Caenorhabditis elegans: one gene and its partners. The protein of the gene in region 1 purifies or fractionates together with the protein of each later gene. This does not show direct contact. Each region holds a gene or a part of one and is shown on either strand. Other genes may lie near its edges.

Region 1 (7,976 bases):
GTGCTCCACGTTCGGTTTTAACTTTGCCCAGTTTTAAATTACGTTCCTCTTGCCTTCCAGTTTTAGAAATTCAGAAGCTCTATAGATGTAGGACTCTCATAAGCCACAAATATCGTACCTCTTCAGAAAACCTTAAAAATTTCCGAAATATTGTTATTTGAAGAACACATGTTTCAAGACATGAAATTTGAAAAACGCCAGAAATTCCGTTTTACCAGAAATTGAATTTATCAATTAGCTTTGAATTTATCGATTTGTTACTTTCAAAAAGCCAAGATTTTGTACACCTAGATTCGAAATTTTGCGATTTTCGACGAGGAAATACGGTACTTTGCGTTTAAAAAAACGTAAAATTCTTTGGATAATAGTAATTCAAACCTAAAACCTAAATAAATTTTAGATGTTTCAAAACTTTCAGTCAACTTTTTGGTAAATTGCCAAATTCTAAGAAAATGTGGGCTTTCCCAGCAATTTTGAGCATAAATGTAAATCTAATTTCTAGAAAGTTGTTAGTTTTTTTAATCCGAAAAAAAACTCGTAGAAATAATTTGTTCATTTTTAATAGAGAATCCTCCAAAATTATGATAAGGACTGATATTTTTTGACAGTGAACAATAAAATTTCAATTAAAAAAATTATATATCTATGATAATTTGGCATTTTGGCGAGAATAGTTTCTATCAATTTGTTTAACTAGCAAAATACGACCAGTTTGAAAATTTCATTAAGACAATCCAGATACTCTTGAAATAGATATTCTGGGAATAGTTTCATTTGAAAATAAACGGTATCCTTTAAACGATCAAGGCCGTTACTTATAACTTATAAAATTATATTTTACAAATAGTTATCTGCAAGTATCTACCCATTGACATCCTTATTTAACTCATTTCTTCTTTTTTCTTCTTACAATAATAATAATGTGTTCAGGATGGTCACAGTGATACCAAAAATAATAAGTTCTCCATATCCTCGGACACGCCTACCACTGTACCTCTACACTGTTTCCATCGTAAGAATTACCAATCAATAGAAAATTCAAGTTTACACCTATAATTCTAGATTATTTCCTGCTCTTTATTATACTGGAATCTTCTTTACTGCAAAAATTATGACTGTGTCGTTGAGAAGGAATTTCGATGGGGAAGTACTCGGCACTTACTACAGGTATCATACAATTTGGTACCATAAAGAAATGACATAACTTTCAGTACTTTCCGGTGATAGCAGCTCCGATTATAATGGTAATATCGTTTTCTTGGTTAATAATTGCAATATATTATTCAAGTAGTTCATGTGTTCTTACATTCAATTTTATGGTAAGTTTTATAGGAAGGAGGAATAAAATAAATATTGAAATTAAAGGAAATGCCATCTGCAGTACTTTGTTCTCTACTTGGTGGTATTAGTTCTGTAATAGAAATTCATTTTTCCATTGAAGTAAATCAAGTTCAATGGACTGATCAGTGGTTACTGTCATCTGTGGGTTTACCAATCAACGATTGTTTAAAAATCGATATTTTCAGGGATCTTCAATACTTTTATGCCTTTTACATGCTACAATTGCGTTCACACTTCAATAATCCTTCCAACATATTTGAATTTCCAATCTTCTTCAAATCGATGTGAAAAAACTTGTATCATTGTTTTTATCAAATATGAAACATTTTATAGGAATCAAAAATATTATGTGAACTGTGATATTTACTCTTGCTCAATTCATTTCATGTAAATATTATTTTGATACTCATTACTGGCATAAATTATATTTTCGAAATTCATGTCACGAGCGCGGATGATGAGGGACAATTCGAATTAATTCTCTTTTTCTCAACAAAAACAATTAAATTTTGAACCTCCCTCCGTTTTCTTTGAAAATGGCCTAGAATTGTGATGGCCGTGGACTAGCATTTTCCCTAGCACGACGGCGGGAATTGTCTGCGTCATCTTCGTCTTGCACGCTCTCTCGTTACCCCCCGCTGTGGTTATTATACCGTTTACCACCTTAATCCCTTCAAAACGCTTTTATAATTTCACATAATCTCTTCTTAGAAATCTCAATCGTTTATTCAGATGGGAAATCGATCAAAGACAGACAATGCAACTGCCGTGGCATCGCAACCACCCAAAAAAGTTAAATCGTAAGTTTTCTTTCCTATTTTCAAAACTAATATATCTGAAATCATCAACATTTTTAGGAAAAAGCAAAAGAAAATGAGCTTTTCACAAGCACAAGACGTATATCTTCGTCTGAAGCAAGAAAAAGAAGAGGAGAAACAACGAGAGCGAGCCGAACGAGAAAAGCGAAATGAGACGATTGCAGCGACAAATAAATCAAGAAAGAAGATGAATCAGGCATTGGCAAAAAGAAATAAAAAAGGACAACCAAATCTGAATGCTCAAATGGATGTACTTCTCGAGAGGATACAGAAAAGAGTGGATAAGGAGAAAAAGGAGAAGAAATGAACTAATTGTTTTGTCTTTTATATTTTCAGATTTTTTTTGTTGAAATGAAATTGTTGTGTTTTTAAAAATCGATAGTTTTATCGTTTCTTCGTTTCTTACCGATAGTATACTTTATTTTCTGAAATATAATTCAATTATTTATTAAAAACCTTTTCAGCCTTCAGATGGCTTCCGATGAAAATATCGGTGCCGACGGTGAACAGAAGCCTTCTCGGCCGTTTTTGAGAAAAGGACAAGGAACAGCAAGATTTAGAATGGTAGTTTGTGCAAATACAAGGCTTATCGAAATAATATATGAAGTTCAGCCTAGAAACAACAAAACATCTGCTGGTGCACCTCCAACGTCGGAACTTTCATCTGCTTCAAGTCCTTCTATTAATGTTCCTAGGTTTAGTCTGTCGGTAAGTAAAATATCTTAAATACAAACGTTATAAAACTGTGGTGACTAGTTAAATATAAATATTAAGTAGAATTATTCCAGAATGCTCTCCCGAACTCTGCCCGAACCGTGGACAGTGGAATATCAAATGAAGACGAGACCCGTCCACCAACCACCGCATCTCTTCCAATGGATCAACCATCATTGTCATCTTCGCCGGAAAATCGTCTAAATCCCGCACCTTCCGTTGCTGAAGAGCATGGCCACAGTGGACAGCACGCTGAAGAAGAAGAAGACAATGACACGGATGAAGTATCTGCAATGCCTTCTTTTGTGCCTGATGAACCTTCGACTCTTGTTAATTCAGATCATGAATTGTCTGATGATGCTTTAAAGTATAAAAATGCAGCTGCCGAATTCAAAGCTTTTGAGAGAAGAATGGATTCGGTAAGAACAGCCAAATCAGAATGATAATTGAAATTTTACATAGAATAGATTTACGTATCAAAAATCAAAACCTACGAATACTCTCTAATTCAAAATTTAATTAATTAAAATTAAAGATGAGATCAGCTTCAACAATCACAACATCACTGGCAACGCCATCATCTTGTGCACCATCAAACTCCTCTGAGCCTCCTACTCGGTCTACACCAATTATGAACGATTTAGGCGTTGGCCCAAATAATCACAATTGGCCGTCTTCAATGCAAGAATTATCAGGAATTTCTCTGGAAACACCACAGGCTCGACCGCTTGGCAGCAATAGAATTAATCAGCTTGGTAGGTTAATAACAAAAAAAACATGATTGATTAGATTTTTAGTTCGAAGTGAGGCTCAAACGGGAATAAGCCTTTTACAACACCATGAAAGACCTACTGTGACCGCCCCATTGAGACGAAATGATATGATGAACTCATCACGACAGAATCCACAGAATGGAAATGTTCAAGATGAAAATCGACCCGAGCACGTTTATGATCAACCAATACATGTTCCTGGATCATCACTGGACCGACAGAAACTTGAAATTGAAATTCGACGTCATCGTAACTTGAACATACAACTGAGAGACACTATTGCTCACTTGGATTATGCAGAAGAATCCGTGCACACCACAAAACGACAGCTCGAAGAAAAAATTTCCGAAGTCAATAATTTTAAGAAAGAACTGATAGAAGAATTTAAGAAATGCAAAAAAGGAGTTGAGGAAGAATTTGAGAAGAAGTTTGAGAAAATTAAGGAAGATTATGATGAACTTTACGAGAAATTGAAGAGGGATCAACGAGATCTTGAACGAGATCAGAAGATATTGAAGAAAGGAACGGGAGAAAGGAATAAAGAATTCACAGAAACGGTAATTAAGAATTTAAGCAAGAAATAGTTATTCGAGAAAAACCACGAAATTTCGATTGAAAATTTTTCTCAAAGCAAAATCTAAAATTTTCATTGAAATAAATTGAGAATTTAAAAAGTTGAAATTCTATTATAAAACCTTTAATTTAAAATCCAGCAAAACTTGTCAAATTTCAGATAGCCACTCTCCGCGACAAATTAAGAGCATCAGAAACCAAGAATGCACAATATCGACAGGATATACGTGTTCGAGACGAAAAGCTCAAGAAAAAAGACGAGGAAATCGAGAAGCTTCAGAAAGACGGAAACCGGCTAAAGAGCACTCTACAGACTTTAGAAAAGCGCGTAAAACAATTACGTACTGAAAAAGAACGCGACGATAAAGAAAAGGAGATGTTCGCGAAGGTTGCAATGAATCGAAAAACTTCGAATCCAGTGCCACCAGTTTTGAATCAAAGTGTTCCAATTTCGATAACATCAAATGGTCCATCTAGACATCCATCATCATCTTCGTTGACAACATTTAGAAAACCATCTACATCAAATCGAGAAAGAGGTGTTAGTTGGGCAGATGAACCAAATGAACAATCATTGGAAGCTGTACCACAGGAGTTTTTGATGGTAATATTTAGATCAAAGCAGGGTTTTTTTAAAATTGTTTTTAGAATATTGCTCTGAAAAAATCAATTCAAAAAAAATTTCAAATTATTTTTTCTTCCCGACTAAAAAATTAATATTTTTGAAAAATAGTTTTTTAAGTCTAAAAATTTACAGCTTACTATTAGCATTTGCCGAAAGTTCCGATTTTTCAAAATTCCCAGAATTAAAAATCAATAGTTTTCGAGTTACCGAAAATTGTCAAAAAAAAATTTTAAATCATGCTTTTTGAAGATGCCAGTCAAAGAAATGCCGGGAAAATTTGGAAAATGCACGATCTACAGAGATTCTCTTGGAGAAACATCTAAAGTGACGGATACAATAGCTAACGGTCTTCTTTTCGAATATTCCAATGGAGATCTTCGATGGGTTAATCGGCAGAACGCTGTTAATGTAAGTTTTAATTGGAATTTTGTCAATTAAAGTGACCAATTTACAGATCTACATATCCGCAGTTGATAAAACAGTCAGAATTGATCTCCCCACATACAATATTTCAATTATTCATACATTTCAAAGGCAAGTTGAAGTACTTCGTCCTGGAAATAACATAACATTGATAAGTATTAAACGACGAGAAGTTCGAACTGATTTGATTTATCAAAACGGAATGTATAAAACTGAAATGTAAGATTATTTTCTTTTTTAAAGTTCATCGGAAATTTCGTATTTCAGCTTCAATAGGGACGGAAGATATGTTACGAAGGATTTTAGCAATCAAGAAGTTTCGAGAAAGTGAGTCTCTATTCATTTTCCAATTAATTATTCAGAAAAACCATTAAAATCTCAAAACTATTACCCAGATGTTTAATTTAATTTAATTTAATTTATTACGATAGAAGATATCGTTAGGTAGAAAAAAAAACACACACACATTAATAGATACAAACCATCACAAGTGGTTACATAAATAAATTACATAAATAAAACGAAACAAAAATAAAAAAAGAGATGTGACATTTTGCGGCAAAAAATGTCTCGGCACGATAAAATTTAGTTAAATGGGAAAAGGCGTGCGCCTTTAAATATTACTGTAGTTTAAAAATCGCGTTACTGTCGAATTGTTGTTTGCCCCTTTTTTTTTTGATAAAAACATGTTTATTAGTTTAGAAAAAAGATAAATAAACCAAACTACAACAGTCTTTATAGGCGCACGTATTTTCACATTTAAAAATCTGTCCTTTAACGAAAAAATTGTAAAATTTGGCGCCTTCAAAGAGTACTGTAATTTCAAACTCAATTTGAAACAGAATTTTCATCGATTTTCCTTAGTTAGTTTTTCGATGAATTTTAATTTATTCATTAAAAAAACTCAAATAAGTATAACGATATTTTAGCAAATAATATATTTTCAAACAAAACATGTTTCTATAATTTTTGTCTAACCCAAAATTTAGGAATATGACCTCAATTCTTCAAAAAGTTAGTAAAACAGGTTTAAAACCCCGTTATAAATATTTTTGCCTCTGAAACCTATCAAATTTTCAGATACAATCCCGGTACACACACATATCGCGACAATCAATGTCGCTACGTTCTCGTCACTGATTACAACGATTTTGAGCTCGTTGAGCCAGAATTCCGTCTTCGTTGGTATCAGGGAGATCCGACTGGTCTCAACAATCAGTATATTCTCAAGATCATTGGACGACCTGAATGCAGCGAGAAAACATTGAGACTTGAAGTGAATCTTTCCACGTGTGAAGGTACATTGGAAACTGCAGAGATGATAGGCGATAAACGTCGGAAAACAACTTTGTTCCAGTGGAAAAAATGAGAAATTCCAACCCCTTTATTTTAACTTGTGGTTTGTATATCTATTCCATTGACATTATTTTTCACTCCTGAGTGCTCTAAAATTATAATTAATTCTACCTCCTGTAAAATCATATCAAATAATTCAATCATTTTTTACTATCTCAATTTTCACTTGCCCCCTCCCCCATTTCTTTCATATTGATCTTCATGGTTATTTTATTGACTGTTATAAACAATTTTAACTTTAAATGTTCTGCACAAAATTCGGGATTCAGATTGCAAAGATTTATTGGAACACTGGAGACATTTCAAGATGATCTCGGATCTTCTGCACGACTCGACGGACTCAAACTTTGAACATTTTCGTGTGAGATTTTCTTTTCTTTTTCCGCACTTTTCTTCTCTTTCTTCTCCTCACCACTTCCATCTTTCTTCTGATCATCTACATCCAGGAGCAGCATCTTGTGACGTGTAATCTTTAGATCACTGAGACGAGTTTTCGAATCGCCGACTTCAAGAGGAGCCTACAATCATCCTTATCTTTTTATATTCAGAATATCAAAAAACTAACCGGGTCACCTCGACCAGAAAACTCGCCTTCGCCTTCTTCACTCGATGATTTCTGAGTTCTCAGAGTAATCATATGGGTCTTACCGCTGACACCAAGAAGCGTGTAGAGTCGAGCCATCAGATCGTCTGAACGATATAATTGTTTAAAAATCTTAGATTCTTAAGCTTACGATAAGTGGCATCCGTTGGAAGGCTGACAACGACTGGCTTTGAAAGGTACAAAAAGTACCAAAGACGTTGATCCGGAACCTTCTTATGTCGACGAGTCCTTCCACTTTTTGATTTGTTCACAGATCCTTTCCGAGTAGCACGAGTACTTCCTCGAATCTTTCCACGTTCAGCTCCATTATTCGACAATTCTCCAGTATGCTCAGCAATTTGTTGCGGTGAGACTTCACGCGTAAAAGCATTTGACGGAGATGTCGAAGTGGCACAAGACGAGTGGTTTTCTGAAAGATTGAACTCTTTTTATCAGATTTCTGATCAATTTCTGTTACCTTTTGGCTGAAGTGGACTACACACCAGACAGTAGAAGTGCCCACAATCAAAACGATCCAAATTGTTTAACCCAATGATTAACTGGAATAATTGGTTTGATCTTTCAAAAACCTGCATTTTGTAAAACAATCTTACTTTCTTGCATGCATCACATTGTAATGAAAAATCCATTTCATCTCCGACCTGAAAAATATTAATTTTCAATATATCCAGATTTTAAAGTGAAAGCCGCCCAGAATTCATGCACAAATAAATATACCTCGCCACAGCAGGTTACTGTAGCTCGTGTAG
Region 2 (4,373 bases), on another chromosome or scaffold:
TTAAATTTGTAATATACGGAGGTCGTATCGAAAATGATTTTGATTTTAAAGTATTGGATTCATATTTGAATGTTCTCTTTTGTGATGAAAAAATTAATGGAAGAGCTGGATCACAATTGGTGAAAGGGATTGATTTATTGGCTACTACTAATGTTCAGGTACACTTATATTTTGGTTTTTTTTGGGAACTGAGAGAATTTTAAGTTCAAGATTTTGACCATTTTATAGGAATATATTGGCCACATTTCTAAATCAGTTCCATCAGTTGATGAGCCTTATCTGTTTGGACTACCGGAAAATATTAAATATTCGTGGCAAATTGTTGAAGCTGATCGAACAATTTCATCTATTCGAACTCTTGGTAAGAAGATCAGATTACTCGGGGTTTGAAGGTGGAGCAGCGTGTGTGGAATTTTTTGCGTAATATTACAAAAACAGGCTCAATAAATACAATAAAAAAGAAGAGTAAAACATTTTTATGATTTTTTTAAATTTTTCAAAAGATAAAAAAGGCTGAAATGCTGTGGAATTCCCGCGTTTATTATCGCCGAAAAATGTATAAAAAATAATTTTTAAAAATTAAGAAAAAAGCAAATTCAAAAATAATTCATCCCTTTTGATTAATGGATATAGTCATGGAAATATTCGTCAAAAAATTAGAATTTTTTAAAAATTTTTACAGCTATATTCGGTATAGTGAGACCATTTTCTGTCATTTCGGGTATCCACTGACGCTACTCCGCATTCACAAAGTTTTTGAATGTTTTATTGAATTTATTACAAATTTGCACAAGTATTGAACTATTTCAGCACTCGGTGATACAAAGAACGCCTTGTCCGACCAATCAGATAAAATTTCACAAATAGTGTCGCTTTGGAAGAAGCTCTGCCAATCTGATGATCTACCAAAAAGAGAACTTCCGACAGCAATCCGATCTGCTGATCCGATTTCCGAAGTCCTTTGTCTGGAAACTATAAACGCTCTTTCTCTTATAAAACAACTTCATCGAAGCATTGGTCACGTGGCAAAATCGATGAAAACCCCTTCGTTGGCTTCTCCAGCCGTTCAGAAAACTATTCAATCACTTGTATTTCAACAGACACCTGATGAATGGGATAGCATGTGGGCGGGACCAAGTGATCCTGCAGATTATTTAAATGTTGTTGTTAAGAAGACACGTGGAACATTGCAGGTAACAGTTTTGAAAATAAAAAATAAAAAAACATGACTTTATTGCTGTCAACTTAAAGTTGGATTTTTCATTCTTTGGCAATATGATTTGTATTTCTTTTGTGGTATTTCAAATTTTAAAACAGTTTTGATTTTTTTAAAACTAAATCCCCATTCCCCATACTCCACATTTAAACAAACTTACAATTTACACAATAAATATACATTTCTTCAGCTGTTCGAATCGTCAAAATCATCTTCTCTGCTCTCATCCCCAATTGATTTTTCGGACTTGTTCTATCCAAACATCTTTTTAAATGCACTCCGTCAAACAACATCTCGTCAAATAAAAATTCCATTAGATCAACTGATCTTATCATCAGCATGGACTCCTTCTCAACTACCAGCTAAACAATGTGTTCAAGTTCAAGGGCTCTTGCTTCAAGGAGCAACGTTTGATTCATTTCTTCGTGAAACTACAGTATCCAGTGCTGCTTATTCTCAAGCTCCTATAGTTTTTCTTGCATGGACATCTGAAAGTTCTTCAACGATTACTGGAGAGCAGATTCAGGTACCAGTGTATAGTTCAAGTGAACGATCTGATTTGATATGCTCGGTTAATATGCCATGTCGTGGAGCCGATCAATGGAATATTGCAGCTGTTGCATTGTTTTTGAGATGATTTTAATTTTTTAACCGTGATAAAGTTTTAATAAATATTATTTGGAGATTGAGTGATTGTTTTATTAATTGATTAGAATATATTTCTAACTACAACAGTAATACAATACACCAAACTTGCGGCGCTTTGGAAATCGAGTCCCTGCCTTCTCCAGAAGTCAAGAGAATACAAATAATTATTTAGACGTAACCACGTAGAATTTGTAACATTGATAACGAAAATTTCAAAAATCCAGCATCATTATTTTTTTCAATAGAAGACAACAATGGAATGTGCAATTTTGTAAGTTTTGTGCTCAATCTCAGTTCTATGTGCAACTATGTGAACAAGTTATTTAAGCTTGCTCTACATATCAAATTTGTGGGGCGTTTTCTGGGCGAGAGGCGGGCGGACATCGTGCCCTCTGAAATAAATAGATCAATCTCAAGAATACTTTCCATTTTAGAGTATTATCTTGTATTCTATCAGTACGTCTCGCAGATGGATCTCCTGAAACCCAAATGGATTCATTGGCCGGTTATCAGAAAAGTGGAAAAGGTCCAACGGTGAGAAAATCGATGAATGTTAAAAATCAATTATTTAATACATCACAGGTAATCTTTATCAATCATTTTTACACATTACCAATGGAATCATATCCACACAAGATAAATGGACCGACAAAAGAAATTCCTCCAGATGAGCGCTTTTTGTTGGTTCGTTCCTTGTTATTTGGATGTTTAAAGCAATTTTATGATCATGAAGTGCCCAGTTTCAAATCTTCAAAATCCACAAAGTTTACTGAATCCAAAATTTTCAGCCCGACTACTTGACATACATGTATTGCATTTTTCTAACAATATTCTCAATTATCATTCTCCTCCATCTCCTTCGTCGTCGCCCAATTGATCATTTCACTGGATTAATGCATACACCATGGAATAAGGAAGAAGAATCGCAATTTGTCGAGATGAAAGATGCCTGGAAATCTGATTCCTCAAGACATTTCTTTTACAAGCATTGGACAAATCACGTGTCAACATCTCAGAAGCTTAGTGAAACATTCGAAAGAGATTTCGATCCAGTTCTTGAGGGAATGAGCGATAATGACTATGCAAAGGTAAGAACATAAATTAAATTAAATTTTCAATTTTATTTCATTTTTCAGAAAAAGAAATTGATTTTGGACATAATGCGATTAGTCAGAAGAAATGAACTCGTAGATGATGACAATTGATAGAACTTGTTAGAAATTACTTATTGGAATAAATAAAGTTTTCGTAACATTTAATGAATTTACCTAAATATGAAACCTGAGAACATTTATTTTTCAATACTGAGGGGCTTCCATAGCCATTGATTTTTTTGGGTGAATGAAAAGATTTAGCAAAACAATTTTCCAAGAAAACATTTAATTGTTTTTTAGATTATTTTAAAAGTTAAATTATTTTACCGAAATGGGCAAGTTTGTTGCTTTTATGAAGACTCCTGACTCCAAGGTTTTTCAATATAACGAAAAATAGTCATTACAGACTTTATTCGTAAAAAGCAAGAAAATAACATAAAGCATTGAAAAAAAAAGAGATTTTGAAGTTAGATTATTAGTTCTGGAAAATGAATTTATTATCGAGAACACCAGAAAGATTTTCCTTGTTTTCCTGCTTTTCCTCACTATTTACAGACTTCTCGACACATGAGGAGTCTTTCATTTCCAATTCCGATTGAAGAAGTGCCATTTCGAATTCCATCTTTTCAATTACTTTTTTCATCGAACCAATTTTCCGTTTATACTTCTCAATACTTTCTTTTTGTCGATCATCATTCTCTTCCATATATTTGACCATGTCTTGTTGATCCAATGCATAATCACGAAGCTTTTCATACTTTTCACTCCATTTTTGTTCAATAGCATCTTTCCATTCTTCTAATGGATATTCTTCTGGAGCTTCAACCTTTTTTCTCATTTCAATCATCAATTGATCGTTGATCTCCATCAACACTTTTACCATTGGATGGTCATGAATTGAATCTTGAGATTCTGTTGATCCTTCCTTTTCGACTTCCTGAATAGTCTTCATCTTCCGATTCTCACATCGACGCATTTGAACTTGTCTCTCCAAATCTTGAATTTGAAGTCTCATGGTGTTCTTCTCCACTTCATTACAAATGTTTGTCAGGTACCTCTCGTCCATCAACTCTTGAACTTTTCGAATTTGACGATTACATCCTGGGCAGTACATTTGATTCGAGCTTTGTGGTGGATTATAGCGTTGCATACTTCTTTTTAGTGTTGAGTTTCTGAAATAAATAAAAAATATAAAAATTAATGTGTTCCAAAAAAAATAAAAAATAAGGAAAACAAGAACAAAGATGGGTAATGTTTGATTGAGCACAGTAGCAGTCGATATATCGGAGACGAGCGTTTTCGTGTCGAGACCCAAAGCTGCAATCGATAATGTAGTGCTGTAACTAGCAAAAAGAATGGCATAGGAAAGGAGAACATCTGCTCCGATGACATCATTTCTCTCTTGCTATGAGATC
Region 3 (3,796 bases), on another chromosome or scaffold:
ACAATCAACAACATCTGGTCCGTCTACTAGTTCAGGGCCATCGACCGCTTCTAGAAGTACTGTATCCACTACATCAGGTCCATCCACAACATCTGGACCTTCAACAACTTCCGGTCCTTCTACAACATCTGGAAGCACAAAATCAACAACCTCTGGTCCGTCTACAACTTCAGGAAAAAATATTTCAACTGTTTCAGGAAAATTAACAGGTAGCCCAAAGGATTATTAAAACCAATTTACAAATAAAAACTAATTCAGGTTCAACGACATCAGCAACAATTTCAAGTGCATTTGGAGGGAATGTAACTTCACATACAAGTATTATTTTAGGTATCAAATTTTTATAGGTGACTTTTACCTCAAAACCTTCAAACTCATCAGGAGGGACAACATCTTCCGGGAAAAATTTCTCGCAAAATACAACGTCTGCAGCAAATGGAACAACTCAAGCAGTTAACAATGGCAAATCTGTAAGTTATATAGAAAAATCACTGGAAAAGCCAGGAAAAATCAATTTTCAGGGCTCAACACTTCCAACCAATTCATCTTCTGGATCTTCTGATTCATCAACATCACCATCAACATTCACAGTTTCTTACAACAACACAAATTCCTCTATCACTTGCATCGAACCATCCCTGAACTTGACCTACACTTCCAGTCCAACTTCTTCACAAATCAAAAGCAGTTATTCTGTCGGAGAGCTCATCACTCAAGTTTGCCCGCAATCTTATGTTTTTGAAATTGCACTGCAACCTGTGAAGATCTATAAGTGCTTGAAAACAGGAAAATGGGCAGGATCACCAGAGAATTGTATTTGTAAGTTTTGAAGTATAAATTGTTTAAAAACAAATGTGTGACTTTTTCAGATGGAAAGAGTGAACTAAAATTGCCAACAAGACTTTAATGATTTGTTAAAATTTTAAATCTATGTCCGGAAATAAATTAATTTGTGTTACTCTGAGAAACTTGACAATTAAAGTTTGTGAATATATTGAATACATCGGTAAAATATTTATTTAGCTTAGGCACCGAAACGCCTAATTTTAGAGGCGTAGGTCAACTTAAAGGCAAGTAACTTGTAGTGCACTTTTGTTGTTCAAAATATTCTGAAAAATGTTTAAATGTGATCTTTTAGGGTATTCAGACACAATCATTATGCATTTCGGTTCCAATTAATGGTTTTTTCTTCATAAATTTCAGTCAAAACTTGGGAAAAATATTTTTTTTTAAATGAATGTACTGTGAAGTTTAGTATTTATTTTATTACTCATTTTCCTATTTTTGAAAGAAAAATATATTTTATTCCAAATACTCAATAAACAATCCAAACTCCGCCAGTAGATCTCATGATACAACCAATATTGTCATATTTATCGGATTTCTTATCAACTTTCCACATTTGAGAAGAAGTGTCGCATACAAGAGACGCCGAGATTGAAGATGAACCTTTTTTGATCTCGAAAAAGTATATTTTTAAAATTCAAAAAAGTTTTCTCACGACTAAAGGCTTTGTATCTGCCTGTTCCGTTAAATTTCCAGAAATTCCAACTGCAACATATCCACTCCCATTAGTGTCAATTTGACAAAGCACTGAAACTGGTTCAGAACATTTAAAGTCTTCTTTTGTAACATTTGTCATAGCGGAAAATGAATAAGCCGGGAATTGGCAACATTCTGGAACTAATAGATATAGTTAAATTAAAAATGTTTTTATGTTTCCTACTTTTTCCCAAAATTGAAACAGGAAGTGGTAACAGAACCAAAGCGAATAAATAATTCATGTTTTTGCAGTGAATTTTCTTCAAAATTTTGGTTTTATAGCATCTATTTGAACACATTCTATTATGGAATTTGAAACAAAAAAAGCTGACGCACAGCGATGACTAATCGTGTTCAAATGAAAATTATTGAAACGAACAGATTGAACAGAAATTCAACGGAAAAACAAAGTTGAACTTTCCATACTGAAAATTTTTAAAACATACATAAATTCAAACTTTCCTCAAAACAAAATTGGAGTTCTGTTTATACAAGTGCTCTTTACTGTAAGCATATTTTTTTGCGAAATCATACAAGTAATTAATCGGAATGCATTTTTCCATATCATGAATTTGAAGGAAATCTCGCCGCACCTGCTGCTGCAAATCGGTGAGCATTATAAAACCTTTTGCGTCCAGTGGTCGTAAGTCATACATAACAAACCGACCACACCTCGTTTCCAACACACAATCGGATATACCAAGTTTAGACAAAGAGGATTCAAGTCATTGTATTATGCCTTTGCCAATGAACAGAGAAGAGATATCAAGCGGCCTCTTGTGGGTTAAATGTAAACCATTTGAAAACGTTTTAAAAGCTGAAATTTTGAAGAGAGCAAAAGAATGAAACTTGCAAAATTCATTCATTAAATAAGATCAAGCAGGGCTCTATGGATTGTACTCGAGGGTTTTCTTATCAAGCCTTCTTTGGGTTGAACTCGGTTGGGAGTGGACCTCTACCTCCACCAAATTTGGTGCACTTTTAAACCTAAACATTTTTAACAAGAGAAAAAACAACGAGCTTTCAAAATTCATTTATTGAGCAAGGTCGAAGAGGGCTCTATGGGTTGTACTCAATTGGAAGGTTCTTGCGACGAACCATACCGTCTCCTTGGAACCATTCACGGCGGAATTGCTTTGCAGCTCCATCCGGGGTGTTGGTCCACTCAACAGTAATACGGTCGTTGTTAGTGTCCTACTGTCCAAAGGCGAAGGCATCACAGGAAACAGCAAGAAGGACTGCTTCCTTTGGGTCCAAAACTCCACATGGTGGATCAACTCCAAGTCTCTTCATATTGGTGGTCTTGATACCGTATCCAATACGGCGAGCCGAGGAGTTGATCACCTTGATGTGGTAGGTGTGCTTGTCATCGTATGGTGCATTGAAGACGATCTTCGTACCCGGCTGGGTCTGGATATCTCCTGGTGGGACGGATTGGGCACTGGCGACTTCTTTGTAGAGTGTGGAAACTTACAGTGAAGATTATGGTAAACTCTGCTCAATTTATAGCAAATTTCTCTCTTATCTTTGTCCCAGATCTTTACAATAGCCACGTCACATAAAGTTCAGAAAGTTAATAAATTAATTTAATGATTTTTAAAATCCGTGAAAGAGTTAAATTTTAGGAATGATTTTGAAAATATATTTTTAATCTATTGCCGCACAGGTCTTTGGCTTCAGCATAACTATGCATGAAAAAACATGAAAAACCCATCTTACTCTGTTCGGCCCTATCAAAAATCTCTAAAAAATGTTTCACTAGATATTTTTCAAATTTTTTGAATATTCCGACAAGAAAGCATCTCATTTCATATCTTCAATTTGACGGAAGTTTAGTTATAAGTTCCAAAGTAGTTTTAAAGTTCAAGGCAAAAATTTAATCGGATATTAATATGACCTTTTTCCTGTTTGTAAACGTTTGTTTTTCAAACATCTCCTTTTTTCAGGAACTGATCTTTGGGTTGATAACACATTTTGAATTTTCAAAATCCAAATCCTTACCATGATATTCAACGAAATTCTCAGCAAAAAAATAACCAAAAATAAAAACTCAATTTTTGATTCAATTTAACTTTTGAAGATTTCAGGTGATTTTATTTTCAGGGTCTTATATATTTCCCCAACATCTTCCACCTGCTAAGTTGGCTAACCAATTTCCTTTTTTTCAGTAAAAAATGTTGATGCCCACGCCTTTTTCCTCATTTCTCAATTCATCGTGAAAGCGGTCCCAAGAGATATTGGAGCGTGTATTCTC

What was found. The genes of interacting proteins can lie anywhere in the genome.
Region 2: the proteins of sas-4 (region 1) and F18C12.4 fractionate together in Caenorhabditis elegans (co-fractionation; one large-scale study listed by BioGRID). This does not show direct contact.
Region 3: the proteins of sas-4 (region 1) and F59A6.12 fractionate together in Caenorhabditis elegans (co-fractionation; one large-scale study listed by BioGRID). This does not show direct contact.

Annotation. Positions count from the first base shown.
Region 1 is NC_003281.10:8,313,236-8,321,211, reverse strand, and holds sas-4 (Spindle assembly abnormal protein 4), read left to right. Parts: upstream 1-2,623; 5' UTR 2,624-2,630; coding exon 2,631-2,723; intron 2,724-2,771; coding exon 2,772-2,867; intron 2,868-2,947; coding exon 2,948-3,292; intron 3,293-3,408; coding exon 3,409-3,628; intron 3,629-3,670; coding exon 3,671-4,203; intron 4,204-4,379; coding exon 4,380-4,823; intron 4,824-5,093; coding exon 5,094-5,252; intron 5,253-5,298; coding exon 5,299-5,486; intron 5,487-5,534; coding exon 5,535-5,594; intron 5,595-6,347; coding exon 6,348-6,636; 3' UTR 6,637-6,863; downstream 6,864-7,976. Other genes in the region: F10E9.10 (uncharacterized protein), read left to right, coding at 932-1,012, 1,063-1,167, 1,212-1,319, 1,366-1,482, 1,527-1,583; F10E9.11 (rRNA-processing protein FYV7), read left to right, coding at 2,074-2,141, 2,199-2,466; F10E9.2 (uncharacterized protein), read right to left, coding at 6,926-7,141, 7,189-7,313, 7,358-7,636, 7,685-7,766, 7,821-7,868. UniProt on the Caenorhabditis elegans protein: Required for centrosome duplication. Plays a central role in determining centrosome size.
Region 2 is NC_003279.8:8,059,539-8,063,911, reverse strand, and holds F18C12.4 (Small integral membrane protein 29), read left to right. Parts: upstream 1-1,944; 5' UTR 1,945-2,118; coding exon 2,119-2,135; intron 2,136-2,298; coding exon 2,299-2,398; intron 2,399-2,446; coding exon 2,447-2,548; intron 2,549-2,652; coding exon 2,653-2,952; intron 2,953-3,000; coding exon 3,001-3,069; 3' UTR 3,070-3,123; downstream 3,124-4,373. Other genes in the region: che-3 (Cytoplasmic dynein 2 heavy chain 1), read left to right, coding at 1-158, 229-361, 811-1,193, 1,407-1,853; K04G2.10 (uncharacterized protein), read right to left, coding at 3,434-4,108.
Region 3 is NC_003280.10:5,010,273-5,014,068, forward strand, and holds F59A6.12 (C6 domain-containing protein), read right to left. Parts: upstream 1,807-3,796; 5' UTR 1,785-1,806; coding exon 1,727-1,784; intron 1,678-1,726; coding exon 1,502-1,677; intron 1,460-1,501; coding exon 1,316-1,459; 3' UTR 1,251-1,315; downstream 1-1,250. Other genes in the region: F59A6.3 (Sushi domain-containing protein), read left to right, coding at 1-209, 259-302, 348-470, 522-819, 870-907.